Linked DNA regions of Astyanax mexicanus. The protein of the gene in region 1 purifies or fractionates together with the protein of each later gene. This does not show direct contact. Links are inferred from orthologs where the notes say so. Each region holds a gene or a part of one and is shown on either strand. Other genes may lie near its edges.

Region 1 (7,910 bases):
TAAAGTGCAAAATATTATGTAACTTGAAAGTAAATTAAATCACTACATTTATACAAATAAAAGTACATTTGTAACACACTAAAAATTGTAGTACAGTATACTTATTAAATGTATTATAATTTTACACTAGGCATATTGAAAATATGCGGTTACATACATGAAGTAGTATGTTTAAATATTACTTCCATTTTAGTACATTTAAGTACACATTTTAGCACAATTTATGTAAGACTTTTGTACTGTTTTTATACAATTAAAGTATAATAAGTACAAAAAAGTTGTTCCATTTTAGCACTCTTTAAATATACTGATTAATAATGTGGCTACAAGTTCACTTTAGCATAATAATGCTAAGTATACTTGAATCTACTCGTACTTGCACACTCATAACATGTCTAGTCCTAGTAGAGAAGCGATGCCAATAGAATCACCATCCTCCAATATCTTGACCCCACCACCACCACTCTTATCACTAAACACAATCAAATCCTCACAGCACTGTTCTCCAATATCTAGTAGAAAGTCTTTCCTGGACAGTAGAGAGAAATAATGAAGGAGCAGCTGTCCCAATACTTCTGTCCAAATAGTGTATGTTACACAAATGAGAAATGTGCATTGGCGAGGGCACTCAAAGAAATAAGAAATAAAGACATTAGACCATTTTTCATTGATTTTTGCTATTTTTTTGTATTTGTTTTACTTTGGGAAAATTACATTCTTCAATAAAACATACAAAATATAAACTGCAAAACTGTTTTTATTCAGATTTGTGAATCAGTTTAAGTAATACACTAAAAGGACAAGATTTAAAGGAGTCAGTTCCAAAACTAAAGAAAACCCCGGAATCAGACCGGTTACTCTGTGCTTCAGTCTCAGAGACAGCTGCCCTACTAATGCTGCCCCATCAGTAACAGGACAGATGCTCAGAGGATTTATTTGCTCATTTACTTTACATAACGTTAGTGTAATTCCTGACAACAACAAAATCACTGAGTCACGTCAGTGTTTCAGTTTTACACGTTCTGTGACGATTCTCACTAAATCCAGTTACACAATAAAAGCTTTCAAATGGTGAACGTCCACAGAGGCCCCTGATTTAGGATTTATGTAATAGACAGTCACTTTATCAGAACAGAGAGCTCTTAAAATATCCTCCCGATTATTATATGTGAATGTACACAAGCCAAATTATCACTTTGTCGGCATCAATTTTCAGGCTTTTTTTTGGGCCTCTGAAGGAGTTCTGTTGTATCTGGCATCAAGACATAAGCAGCAAATCCTAAGTCCTGTAACTTCAGAGATTTGATTTCACACCTATCTACTTTTTAGTTTTATCTGAATTAAAATCAGGCGATAGTAGTGCAATAGTAGGTCCAAAATTTGGTCTGACCAAAAAAGGCGTTGTCGGTCCAGATCAGCTTTTCATGTTTCGGGTGGTTTACTTTCAGAACAATTATGGGAAGTTGAGTCAAGCTAGCGTCACCCATTTTACAATGGAAGAAGAAAAAGAAAAGGTGTTGTGATGAAATCTCTTCTTGGATATGTGCAGATGCGTCACACAGCAGTATGGCTACAACTGTATGCTGTAGAATACTGTAACTGTAGAATAACCCTTATTTATAAACAGAAATAAAAGGAATCCAAGGAGAACCTTTTACACTGGTTCTGCTGCGGTTTCTGGCACAACATCTGGAAAGGCAACTCACCGAACTTACTTATCAAAGCTCTTTAAGCTGCTCGCTAAATTGCAGTCAGTGTAAAACCAAAACTAATCAAACCAAATTAAACAATCAATTAATCAGCCCCTTACTGCAACTCCTATAGTTCACCTGCACCCACTTTCAGCCCTCACTCCAACTCCCATAATTCTCTTGCACCCACTATCAGTCACTCACTACAACTCCCATAATTCACCTGCACCCACTATCAGACCACTGTTTCACGCAAAAGGTGTGCTCTGGGTCCGGTCATGCAGCAGTATGAACACAAACGCTTAGACTGGGAATTAATTTATTTACTGTAACAGTAGATTAATCCTTATTTAGCAGCAGAAATGAAAGTGAGGATTATCTTTTACACACATGCTGCTGCAGAGAGCCTGTGTATGTAAAGAGCAATCAGATTCTGACAGAGAGCTAGAATTCGCCACAACACCTGGGAAAGCAACTCACTGAACTCATAAAAACACTCTACAAACACATAAATATAAAGTATAAAGAGACTCCGTCCTTGTGACTGATGACGACAAGATGTAGTAAAATTCTTTAGCCCGTTCACTAAAATGCAGTGTAAAAATAAGACTAACAGGACCAAATGAACAGAATGTAACAAACACATGAAGTTGCGTGCGGACACTGGTCCAGATATTTAGATTTGAAAAAAAAAAAAACACACTTAAATTGAACTTGGTTTCTGCTTGGCATTTAGAGGACTCATACACAGAGAAGTGGCACAGTGTGTGTGACTGGGCTCATCTATCTGCCAAAACACAGTGTGTGTGTGTGTATGAGATTGTGTTTTTGTGTGTGGAGAGAGGGGTCTTTATGTCATTGTGCTACTTTACCACACCCTTCCCTCTACCCAGGCTATGATTTATTTATTTACACACACACACACACACACACACAGAAACATTACCTCATACACCAATCATCAATAATAATGAGTTCAAGTCTCAGCAGTCGTAGTATTTATAAAAATGTAATGATGTACACATTTTAAAAACATTACAGACACACAAGACTGATTTTTCCTGTTTGATAAATGTAGCAAATTAATGCATGCTGTAGATTGTGTGTCATATTTTAGTTTATGATGCAGTTTAGGGTCTAGGACTAATGTGTCAGTTTGAATGTTTTTAAAATGCATATGATTATAATTTTTACTACGTTTCTCACCATGTTTATTTGTTATATATATCACCGATTCGAATCCTGTATCATGCTATTTCCCCATCAGCAGCCAGAGTCTGAGAGAGTACAGTAGATCATACTGCTTCTCTCTCTGGGTGGGTACAGTAGGTGGGGCTCTCTCCCCTCATCACTCCCGTTGTGATCCTGGTCAGTAGAGGCGTCTGTTAGCTGATGCATCAGAGTTTGGTTGGGCCTTTTTTTAAGCACACTAGATACCTGGTTATGATACCTGGAAGGTACCTGTATACCTGGACATGGAGGCTGACTTCACATGTAGCCGAAAGGGTGTGCATCTGTCCGCACCTTTCTAGTGTTGGAAGAACATTACTAGTGATGGGGAGAACTAAGAAGGGGTGGGGTAATTGGCCTTCCAAAACTGGGTAGAAAATGGATACAATTAAAGAAAATAAATTACTAATACACCACTGGAACACTGAAACACTGGAACATTGAAACACTAGAACACTGAAACACCGGAACACTGAAACAATGGAACACTGGAACATTGAAACACTAGAACACTGAAACACCGGAACACTGAAACACTGGAACACTGAAACACAGGAACACTGAAACACCAGAACACGGAAACACCAGAACATGGAAACACCGGAACACTAAAACACTGGAACACCGGAACACTGAAACACTGGAACACTGCAACATCAAAACACTGGAACACTGCAACACCGGAACACTGAAACACAGGAACACTGATACACCAGAACACTGAAATACCAGAACACTGAAACACCAGAACACTGAAAACTGGAACCCTGAAACACCAGAACACTGGAACACTGAAACACCAGAACACTGAAACACTGGAAAACTGAAACACCAGAACGCTAAAACACTGGAACACTGAAATACCAGAACACTGAAACACCGGAACACTAAAACACTGGAACACTGAAACACCGGAACACTAAAACACTGGAACACTGAAACACCGGAACATTGAAACACCGGAACACTGAAACACAGGAACACTGATACACCAGAACACTAAAACACCAGAACACTGAAACACTGGAACACTGAAACACCAGAACAACGAAATACCAGAACACTAAAACACCAGAACACTGAAACACTGGGACACTGAAACATCAGAACACTAAAACTCCAGAACACTGAAACACTGAAACACCAGAACACTGGAACCCTGAAACACCACAACACTGAAACACTGGAACAACAAAACACTAGAACACTAAAACACTGGAACACTGAAACACCAGAACACTGAAACACCAGAACACTGAAACACCAGAACACTGAAACACTGAAACACAGGAACACTAAAACAATGATACACTGATATAATGTGCAGCAATTCCAATCTATTTCTGTTATGAAATCAAAAAATGATAAAAATTTAATGTTTTTTTAGTCAGCAGGGGGCGATCTCACCCATATTATTTTTTACTAAATTGTAATATATACATATATATTTCTTTAACACGTATTTATTTGTATTAACATTCTTATCACCAGACTGCCTCTGTAAACAGCTGTGTATTTATTGAGGGAGTTTCAGCTGCGGCTCCGCGCGCGGGCTGATCAGACTGCTGGAGCTGTTGTTTAGACCCTGACGGTCCCTCATATTTACCTCGAGAGCCCCGGCGGAGAGGCGGAGAGCGGGAGCTGAGACAGCAGCCCCTCCCTCCGGCCGCAGCCCTCACTGCCTCCCGCTCCCCCTCCTCCTCCTCCTCCTCCTCCCTCCACGGAGCTGCTGCTGCTGCTCCTCCAGATGAATGGGAAGAGGGAAGGCATGGCGGAGAGAGAGCGGAGGAAGACCCCGGCAGCAGCGTCCAGCTCCCGGGCACCGCGCCTCGACTCCCCGGCCAGCTGCAGGTGAGAAGCCGCTGCTGCTGCGGGGATAAATGTGTGTGTAGTATGTTTAAGTGTAAGTGTGTGTGTGTGTGTGTGTCCCATCTCGTTTGCTGCCATCCCACCTGGGCTGTAGCAGCTGCTTGTTGATAGCGATGGGTCGCTGATAAGGGAGGAATCAGAGGAGTACAGGCGGTTTATGGGGTGTGTGAGTGTTTGTGGTGGTGTATGGAAGCAGATTGCAGGCTGTATGGGTGTGTCTCTGCTGTTGGGATGGGCAGATAAGGCAGAAGTTTGAAGGGAGAAGTGTTTTTGGAATGAGATGCAGGTTTGATTGGTACAGTGCAGAAAAAAATATATAAAAAAATACAAATATATATACAATAGAAATAAATGATAACAGTGCAGATTATTGTTAGAGTGTTAAGAAAATGAATATTGCTATTATGTGACTGAGGTAGCCGATAATAGATAATAAATAGATACTGAACTGAAATGGCGATTTATAGTTTATGCTACATTGTTAAGGAAAAAAAAGGTATTTTTCCAAATTGGGTCCACCTGATCAGCTCATGGCCCAGTCAAAGCTGCAGGAGGTTAAAGCAGAGAAAACACTAAAATGCTGAAAAAATACAAAGTCGGGGGATGCCAGCACCAGAACTGACAAATACTGGAGTAGGAGTGTTAAAGGGCCCATAGTGTAGGTTTAGTGGTGGGTTTAAATGGAAAATAAAATAGATATATTACTATTGTTATTGTTGTAGTAGAGACTGGTTCAATTTACCACTACAGTAGCTACTGAGCCAGTACATTTCTCTACAAACTGAACATTTCACACCAAAAACTCATTACGACATTACTTTGTTTACCTCCTAATTATTCATCCAGATGATTTTGAAGTGGTGTTATACATTGTTATATTGTACATTGTACATAATGCATTGTTTACAGGTAATTGAATTATGCATAAATTAAAATGAAGGTTCTCCACATTCTCAATCACATTATACACTGAAAACAGTGCATATGCAGGCTAGCTAATTAATAATGAATGGCCTAAAAATAAAATAGTAAAATCCCTAAACTCTATGGCTGATGTTAGGGCTGACAGTATATTGTGTATTGTTCAAAATGTGCAAATTAATTCCAGGAAAAAAACAAACATGTGTTGTTTGTGTAGAGAGTAGTGGTGTTTTGGAGGTATAACAGAGTAGAGTACAGATCTGTAGAGTACAGATTAGTGTAAATGTTGTAAAAACATCAAATATAAGGACAAAACATATTTAAGTGTATTACTTAAATACACAGTTATCTATTTGCTATTTACATAGCCATCATATATATTTTTATTGAGGAAGAAAAAAAGGGAAAAAATAAGTAATATATAGTATAAAAGCACAGGAATAATAGACAAAAAAATAAATGTACAAAACAAAATAAAACAACCCAGCACCCCTTTTTTCTTTTTCTTACCTTCCCCCTTTGTCTTCCTTTCTTTTTCTTCCTTCCCCTTTTTCCCCTCTGCTTTATCTTCCCTTATTTTTTCTTTCTTTCTTTCTAGGCCTTTACACCTTATTTAATTTTTTTTCTTTTAAACCCCTTTTAATATCGCCATTTATTGTCAAAGACTATCAAGTATGAAATATTTTAAATATTGATCGTTTTTCAGTCATATTGGCAGCCAGAGCTAATATAGCTCTCACATATAATTGGAGCATTTTAGAAGCATTTAGCATAATTATTTAACCAAAGATGTTTGTGGAAAAATTTACTGGTGGGGTTGGGAACTTGGCTGTGAGATGTGCAGAGATTTTGCCCTATAGAGTAAAACTGCTTAAACTGAAGTTCTTATTTAAGCGTCCCACAGAATAATGCATGATGCTGGATTATTTTTGTACCATTAAATTATAGATTCTGAGTGAAATGCTTTTAAATTTAGAGGTCATTAATTGCCGTGATCCATGCTTGCTCTATTCGAGGTGCACTGAAGCGATCAGCAGTTCTGCAGGACCATCAGCTTCATGTGTTTTGGCAGCCTGAAGCTTATACGCCATGTAACAGTGGAACCGCCTGCTACAGCAGGATTTGGGTAAACTAGGGGCCGGATATTAATTAGAAATGTTCTGAAGGAATCTGTCTCTGTACTGGAGTTAAAGTAAACGGCATGTACAGTGTATCTACTGTGCAGAGTTAGACTCCAGGATCAAACGGTTTCTGGAAGTCTCTGAGTTTAATCGCAATGTGCATTTCCTGTGTACGGTCTAATCCTGCAGTCTTACTGTAATAAACTACAGAAGGCCTCGTTTCAGAGCTCTCCACGTCCTGGCGTTCACCCAGACACGGGCATCTGCTCAGCTCCGTCTATATACAGTATCTCTGCAGGGTCACTCAGGCTGAATGGCCTTGTTTTTATACCCAGTAATAAGAAGACATTCCATCACAACAAGAGTCACAACCTAAACAAATCATTTATAGCACCAAGGGCCCCAAATTCTGCATCCTATTTTAAATGTATGTATTTATTTATATATATAATTAATATAACTATTTGCAGGTGCAGCTTTACTCTCAAATAATGATGTGATGATAGTGACAATTCTTTATCTTTATCTTTATCCTTAATCTAAAAAAAACTATAGACTGTTATACTGTTTCTATTACTATACCTTTAATGCTCAAATACATGTAAACAAGCTCTGTTATAATTGGCTCTGCCTTGCTGTGAGGATTTGATTGCATTTTGTGGCATTTTTACCTCTCTGGCCTATACCTGTCATTAGGCATGAAGCCAATCTGCTCATGATTGTCTGCTCCAGATAATACAGCTGTGTTTCCAGCTGTTTGAACTGGATTGAATTTTAACAGTGTTTTCTCACTGGTTCAATCCTTTAGCTCAGGACAGTGAGTAAAATTCAGTTTTACAGGAAAGTGATAACCTTTGAAGTGTTATCATCATCTGAAGAAGAATCGTCCCAGTATTTTTTAGAAGCTTTCTCAGTTCTGTCTTCAAAGGAAGGAAAGCTAATCAATAGGAATGCACCGATGCAGGAATTCTGAGATAATGTCCAATATTGTTGGTTTGTATCAGCAGATGACAAAACTTATAAAATGCAGATTGGCATAAGACAGCAATGGAATATACAGCTTTGAAAAGAGACTCTT
Region 2 (8,083 bases), on another chromosome or scaffold:
GCATCTGTTTTTTTGTGATCTGTAGCTGTTTTGTTTACAGCAAAAATGTTATTGTTAAAAAATTTCTTTTAAATAATGCGCCTAGGGACCTAAATGTTCTGCACAGCTTTGTGCAAATGCCCATGTTCAGAAATATGTAAACAAATGCTGATATCAAACACACGGAAGGTTACACACCAGACTAAAGCGTTTAGAGAGAGAACAGATTACATTTAAGAAGACACATCAAATATTATCTATAATTACACAACCTACCCAAGACCAAGATAAACTTTATGCCCAAATGTATCACATTATTGAATTTAGCTACTGTCAAGGTTTGCAAATTGCTGACACAGGCACGTAACAGCTTGTAGATCCTCTATAATTCACCCAACACCTTTGAGATTTGTCAGAATAAATCAAATAATCCGCAACTGATCATATAACATCAGCACCTTACCTCACTATTGCTCTGATGGCTAAACATAATCAAATTCTCACATCAATGCTCCGGCAATTAGTGTGAAAGCCTTTTAGAAGACTACTTACTGCTGCAGTAACTGACCTGTCTCTACTGTTCATGGAAGAAAGTGTTCTTTCTAGATTTTGGAGGTGGAGGAGGAGATCTGCTGTAAGGTTTTGATAGCAATCAGTGACACAAGCATTAATGGGCTAATGGGTTGATCATGTTTGATGATTACCACTGTTCCTCATTCCCAACTCATGCTAAAAGTATTAGATAAAGAATTATTATTCCAGAGAACACAGTTCTTCCACTGCCACACAGTTTAATGCTGTGAGGCTTAACACCCCTCTTGTCAATGCCTGGTATTGGGCATGGTGCCAATAGGTTCATGTTTATCTGCTGCAGAGAATCTTATTCCATTGGCAATAGTTCTCCACACAAACTAAACACACTGTGGCGTGTGTGCATTTGCACATCTGTGTCAGCAATAGGTACAGCTACTTGCGGTAGCTAGCTAAATACATTCATCAGAAGTGGACTCCAACATTTAGCCAAATGTTTTTGCACCCCAACATTTAGACAATACCTTGTCGACACAGCAATACTAACTAAACATATCTACAGTTTACCATTTAGCCAATGCGTTTGGGCTTTAACATTCAACCAAAATATTGTGATCACATCTCTACCAGCCAAACATTTTTGTATTTCGTTATTTAGTCAAACGTTTCTGGACTCCAACATTTAACCAAATGTTTTTAAACTCCAACATTTAGCCAAAAGCTTCTGGACATAATTATATTAACAAAACATATTGGTTTCATTTAACCAAATGTTCTTTGACCCCAACATTTAGTTAAATGTTTTTGCACCCAAACATTTAGCCAATAACTTGTTGACACAGCTATACAAATCAAACATATCTGCATTTCACCATTTGCACAAACCATTTGGGCCGCAATAAATAGCTAAAAGCTTATGGATACATTTCTACTTACTGAACATTTAACCAAAAATTTGCCTCACAATTCTATCAAATAAACCCATGTATGTTTCACCATTTAACAAAATTCAGCTAAATGTTAATGATCTAAAACATTTAGTCAAAAGTATGTGTTTCACCATTTACCCAAATGATTTTAGACCCCAATATTTAGCCAGAAGCTGCTGGACACAATTCTATTAAACAAACATATGCGTTTCACCCTTCAACATTCAACCAAAATATTGTGAACACGGCTCTAATGTTACCAGTCAAACGTTTTGTTTTGTATTCCACTATTTAGTCATATGTTTTTGGACTCCAACATTTAACCAAATGTTTTTGTTATACAAAATTGAGCCAAAAGCTTCTAGACACAATTCTATATACCATATGCATATATGTTTCACCATTTAACCAGATGTTCTTGGGACTCCAACATTTAGCTAAATGTTTTTTGACCCCAACTAACTAATACCTTGTTCACACAGCTATACTAACTACACATATGTGCATTTTGTCACTTAGCCAATGCTTTTAGGCTCTAACATTCAACCAAAATATTGAGAACACAGCTCTATCATTTCATATCATCTATCACCTAAATTTCCTTTGGGATAAATAAAGTATGTATGTATGTATGTATCTATCTATCTATCTATCAGCCAAACGTTGTTTGTATTCGAATGTTTTTTGGACTCCAACATTAAACCAAATGTTTTTGACCCCAATATTTAGTCAGAAGCTTTTGGGCACTCTTATACTCTTCTATTTTTACAGTAACTGCACTCTCTCGCTAGTTAGTTACTAGGTTACGTTTTTAGCATTAGCATGGTAGCTAACGTTACCAGGTTTATGTCAGGCGTCTCGTTAGCTGGGGTTAGCTAGCTAGTGGCTATCTTGAGAAGGGTCAGAAAACTGAAGCGAAAAACGGATTCGCTGCCACACAGATGATTCAAAATGAATTTACAGAAAATTAATTTTCAGAGTTGATAATATTATACAGATATTACGTTATCCTAAAGTCCTCAGTTAGCCAGCTAACGCTAGCTAACCTAACGATACTAGCTGGAGTCATATTGTGAGGCTTGGGACGCGGGCCTGCTAATCAATTTAGCCAGTCAGTCAGTCAGTCAGTCAGTCACTTAGCTGGCTGGCTAACGGTTATTTAGCTAGTTAGCTCGGTTAGCTAGCGAAATGACCACGAATTAGACATTCTCCGCTATTATTCTTCACCTACAGGTTTATATATGTGTACCCAGTAGGCTCTACTCAGCGCCCGCGCTCTGCCAGGTCTTTAACCAGCTGTCAGTCTGATCAGAGCTCCGTGTTTGTTTATGTAGCCTGGTTAAGCTAACGCTGCTCCCCCCGATTCCGCCTCTCTCTCCACCACGGCGGCTCCGCAGTCTCCTCCGGACACTTACTCGGCCTGGGTCGGGAGCGCTGTGGGCTCATGTCGATGCTGAGGTCGATCCGCCTCCTCGCTTCTTTATTCTCCTGCTTCAGTTTCTCCTCGATTCGGGAGAGTCTCTGTTCCAGCGACGACATCTTGGAAAAATTCAGCAGCACCATCGAGCGGCCCCGGCTCTAAAACTCGCACACACACACATACACTCCCCCCTGGCGACGGTGCTGGAGGACAGCAACACACACCGACTCACACCAACACACACACTGCTGTAAAGGGTGCAACGATTCAGTAGCAGGGAACCACACGATACGATATTATCACGATACGATATTATTATCACAATAAGATATTATTATCACGATACGATTTTATCCCTATACAATCTTATCACGAAACGATATTGTTATCACGATACAATATTAATATCACAATACGATATTATCACAATATATCACGATACAATATTAATATCACAATTAGATATTCATATCACAATTAGATATTATCACAATATATCACGATACAATATTATTATCACAATACAATATTAATAGCATTAAACAATTTTATCACGACACAATATTATTACTATACAATATTATCTTAATATGATATCTTAAGAATACAACATTATCACGATACAATATTATCAAAATAAAATATTATCACAATACAATGTTACAACAACACGATATCACAATGTAATATAATCTTGATACAATATAATGGTACGGTACAATATCAAAATACGATATTATAACAGAACAATATAATCACAAAACAATATTTTCACAATATGTTATGTTATTATACAGCTTCTATGGGGCAGCATGGTGGCTTAGTGGTTTGCACGTTCAGCTTCCAGAGCTGGGGTTCTGGGGTCAAGTCACAATCTGGGTGTAGTTTCCATATTCTCCATGTGTGCGCGTAGGTTTCCTCCGGGCACTCCAGTTTCCTCCTACGCTAAATCGGATACTCTAAATTGCACTGATGTGAATGTGTGTACGACTGTATACCCAGATCCTAGGTCAAATTCTGCAGTGCCAGATGCTGACAACTTAGGGAGATGTTGATTTCATTTTCCAGCAGGACACACTGCCAAAGTACCAATTGGTCTTATATAATATTCTAATTTTCTAAAATACTGACTTTTGGGTTTTTTATTAGCTATAAGCCATAACCATCAACAATAAAAGAAATAAACACTTAAAATAGATCACTCTCTGTGTAATACATCTATATGATATGAGTTTTACATTTTGAAGTGAATTACTGAAATAAAGTAACTTTTCAAAGATATTCTTCTTCTCCACCCTTTTTTATTTCTTTTTCATTTCTTCTCCCCAACCCTTTTTTTGTTTGCACCTATTTATTTGTTTTGTTGCAAAAAATATTTGTTTTCCACCCATTTTCATGCAATATTTATTTTTCTCTTCATTTTATTTGTTTTCTGTTTAATTTTGTCACTAGTTGTCAGGAACTCTCCTTTTCTTATCCTAACCATTTCCAAGAGAATTTCCTTGGGAGATTTATTTATTTATTTTTCCACCCATTTTCTGTTTTTTTTTTTGGTGATTTCTTTATCCACGAGTCCTTTTACATTTGGTGTTGGACATTTTTCTTTAATAAATAATTTGATTCCAGTCAGTTCATGGAAACAATTTTACAGACTAAAATTTGGACATCAAATATTGCTCAAATTTGTATAAGTATTTAAACCTCTTAAAATGTATAGAGCTTCATTTATCCTATATATTTTATTACCTACCTTAAATACAAGCCACATATTGTTTTTGATATGTAAGCCTTTTTACAATCATTTAACAATACTGATATTTCATTATTTTATATAAAACTTTACCCAGGAAAAAGATTACTCAGGAACGTAAATCCAAAATGACAGAGGTGCCAAAATTCACACACATAAGAAAATAACACACACAAACACAGCAGTCTTATCAACAAGTCTTTATAAATACAGCTCAACACAGAGTTCTGATGAATTGTAATATAATAGTATACTGGACACAGTCATACCAATTCATCAACACTGACCTGCAAACCACAGGAAAATCGGACAACAGTTTTACTGTCCACATAAAAGCAGTGTTGTCGTCTCTGATTCGAAGATGGGTAATAAACAGACATTGATTTTGGAGGCCAAAGTTCATATTAAAGTTTGTGCTACATGTTTATCAGTGTATTCATTTTTTGTGGTATTGAAGTATGATTTTTCATTATTTTGCAGAATTAATCCCTTCATGACAAATTGCAAAATCCAGTGTTTCAAAGTAGAGAATTAAATAAAATGGGCTTAAAATGCTAAAACAGGAAAACAATATTGGGACTAATTTCCACCAAAACAAACTGAAACATTTATACTCCTTTCCTAGTTTCTGTCAGAAATTACACAGCCTTGTAGTTTTTAAAGTTAATTAGGTCCAACTCTTAAAATAAATCCTTCAGTAGTTTGTTTTCAATTCATTCTTTATCCACCACTTTGATAGTCACCATCAACAATAATCTAAATGCCTTTCTAAAGCTTGTATCTGCATATTGATATAATATATATAGTTTTCCAAACGTAACTATGAATGTATACAAAATTACCTTAAAAAAAGCTTTGAACAGTTAGGAACTGGTAAAGTTGACATATTGGAGATGCAACATTTTTGTAGATGCCTCTAATGGCTTGTAACTTATTCACTCACGCATGTTTAGCAAGACTGATTGTGGTGCTCCACATCAATGAGACTTTGTGTCCTTGTAACAGAATACTTAAAGTGGCAGTCCGTATTATTTTGTTTCTCAACTGAAAGCTGAAGCATTTCTGAGTGGAGAAGGGGTAAAATATTGTATTAAATGGTACCAGTGCGCTGGAACAACCATCCCCCCTAAGCCTAATATATATTCATTCTAAAAACTGGGTGTCTGGTCGCTTTTCGCTGGAGTTCTTCTGGCCATGTCACGCGTCTTTATGTCAAATGTACAGCCTCTAAAAGACGATCCGGCTCAGTTTTACTAAATACAAGCAGCTGGTGGAGCAATGGAGACTTTAGAAGGGAAAACTCTATAATTCACATTTTGACTAGCTAGAATAATATTAAGAGAATAAAATCTTTTAGACGTTTTACTAATTTTACTGACGAACACATAAAGAGATGTGCTGTAGCTGATCTTTAGGGTTACTGGAAAGGCATCAAAATGACTGTTAATGTCAACAATGCAGCAGATTAAGCTGAAGTTGAAAAACACTGAAGGGCTCTGCCTTTAAAAAAGTGTTGAATCAGTGTCTAGTACTTGCTTAAAACTTATCCAGAACAATATTCAGAGATGCTCTGTCAATGTACTAAACTGAATCTCACCATTAAAGGCACTGTATACGATTTTTAATACACCAATACACATTTTAAATAATTCAGCGAATGTTTCCTCACAGTTCCCTAACTCCCTGGTCTGTTTATGTGTTGGAAAAGATTCTGACATTTTGGTGCCTTACTTTGTAAATGGGAAATGGGCCACACGACATTATTAGGGGCCATTTAAGTGTGCGCCGAGGACTGGGAAAGGCATCGGCATGTGTAAACGTTGGTGAGGTATTTAAAAGATTGCAAGATTTCTGAACATCCTGAAGGGAGGAGTTTGTTTGTTTGTTTTGCACACCAACAGTTTGGTTCAAACACCAAGAATTGTTCTTCAGAATAATATACAGCACCTTTAATGGTCATTCTTTAACCCATTTAATCCTAAATGTGGGCACAATTCCATATTCAGGTTGTTCTTGTTGTTGTTCTCAAACATGAAACCTTTCAGTATAAGCAGTGTACGTAGCATTAGCTTGTATTAATCTTGACCTCATGATTCTCCGTACTGTATGTATATATATATATATATATATATTCATTCATCATCACATCACTTCATCATCATTGTCCATTCAAGGCTTCTTTTTTCAGTTCCTTTGACTAACATACTTAAAAGATTCTACGTAAAATTCTCAAAAGGGACAGAGTATAAAGTTAAGGCATTTTCAAAATCCAAAATCACAGTGTGTAAACGAGTGTCACTGGGCCAGGTCAGAATGGCAGCTGCTTGCTGTCCCGTTCTTCTACTGATGAACTTGTTTGACGTGAAAGGCAGAAGTGAGAGACAGAAAGAGGCAGTATAAGAAAGACTACATTGAAGTTTTTCTTTTTTTTTCTCAGCTGAAATTCACATTTCTATGTGTCATTATCGTTATATTGAGAATATGCCAGACAGCCTTTTACATCCCCTCTCTTGATGAGTAGTCCACATAATCTCCATCTCTAAATATTTTCTCTTCATTAGCGTAATCCGTTCTCCATCCCAGAGTAAAAACAAAAACTCCACACATTTACTGAGCTATAGTAGTCTCTTCAATCTTCATTCTGGCATCCATAAAAAAAAAAACCAAGCCATCCACAATGGCCGAACTTTTACTGTCACAGTGTAGTGGTAATGGTGCAGATCCGCCGTGATCGCAGTCAAAGAGATAATAAACATCCCTGGACGACTCCTGGACTGTACAACCTTTGATATCTCTGACAACTTCCTTCTGAGAATTTCAACAGAGGTCGGAGACGTATTCGAAGTCACGGAAGCTGTCCTGGTCTTTGCGCGAGAGCGTGCGAGGCTCCCTTGGCGGTGTGAGGGCAGGAGCTTCCGCCGTGAATTCTTCGTCAAAGTTGCTGACGTCTTCTTTTCCTCCGATGGAAGGAACGAAGGGGGGAGGGAGTTTGCGAAGGAGAAGAGCCTCCCAATCCATATTCTGAAAGAAAGTAAAAGATGGCGATGACGCGTTATATCAAAAACTCTTACAATTCCAAAGCAAAAATTGAGATTGCACAACTTGCTTAGAGGTGAATGGTTCAGGTTTGAAAGGTAGTGGTATCTGGAGAATTTGGTATTTTATGCCTATTGAAAGCTCCGTTCTACTGCTGTCCCTACATATCTGCAAATGTGTTTGGACATGCATATGCAGACATTCACTCAAATGTCTGCAAACATAATGAAACCATGAAGTGAAAAATGTGTACTAGGTGGCAGAGTCCAAGTCAGACAGTACAGGAAACAAGGAGGCATGTCTTGAGCTTTTTCCACAAATTAAGAACTGCTTTATTAAGATCTCGAAGTTGGCAATATTATTATGAAGCCTTTAATGTAAAAACTTGTGCATTATATGCATTGTTACTTAGACTACATATATAAACATTTAAACCTT

What was found.
Region 2: the proteins of mapk8ip1b (region 1) and map2k7 purify together in Homo sapiens (affinity purification with western blotting; 3 studies listed by BioGRID and IntAct, with this or other methods). This does not show direct contact. The link is inferred for Astyanax mexicanus from reciprocal best matches to the Homo sapiens genes MAPK8IP1 and MAP2K7.

What each region holds. Positions count from the first base shown.
Region 1 is NC_064423.1:8,535,703-8,543,612, reverse strand, and holds the start of mapk8ip1b (C-Jun-amino-terminal kinase-interacting protein 1), read left to right. Parts: upstream 1-4,653; 5' UTR 4,654-4,668; coding exon 4,669-4,772; intron 4,773-7,910. UniProt on the Homo sapiens protein: The JNK-interacting protein (JIP) group of scaffold proteins selectively mediates JNK signaling by aggregating specific components of the MAPK cascade to form a functional JNK signaling module. Required for JNK activation in response to excitotoxic stress.
Region 2 is NC_064428.1:26,978,180-26,986,262, forward strand, and holds the start of map2k7 (dual specificity mitogen-activated protein kinase kinase 7), read right to left. Parts: upstream 3,056-8,083; 5' UTR 3,003-3,055; coding exon 2,855-3,002; intron 1-2,854. Other genes in the region: pkn1a (serine/threonine-protein kinase N1), read right to left, coding at 7,427-7,630. UniProt on the Homo sapiens protein: Dual specificity protein kinase which acts as an essential component of the MAP kinase signal transduction pathway. Essential component of the stress-activated protein kinase/c-Jun N-terminal kinase (SAP/JNK) signaling pathway.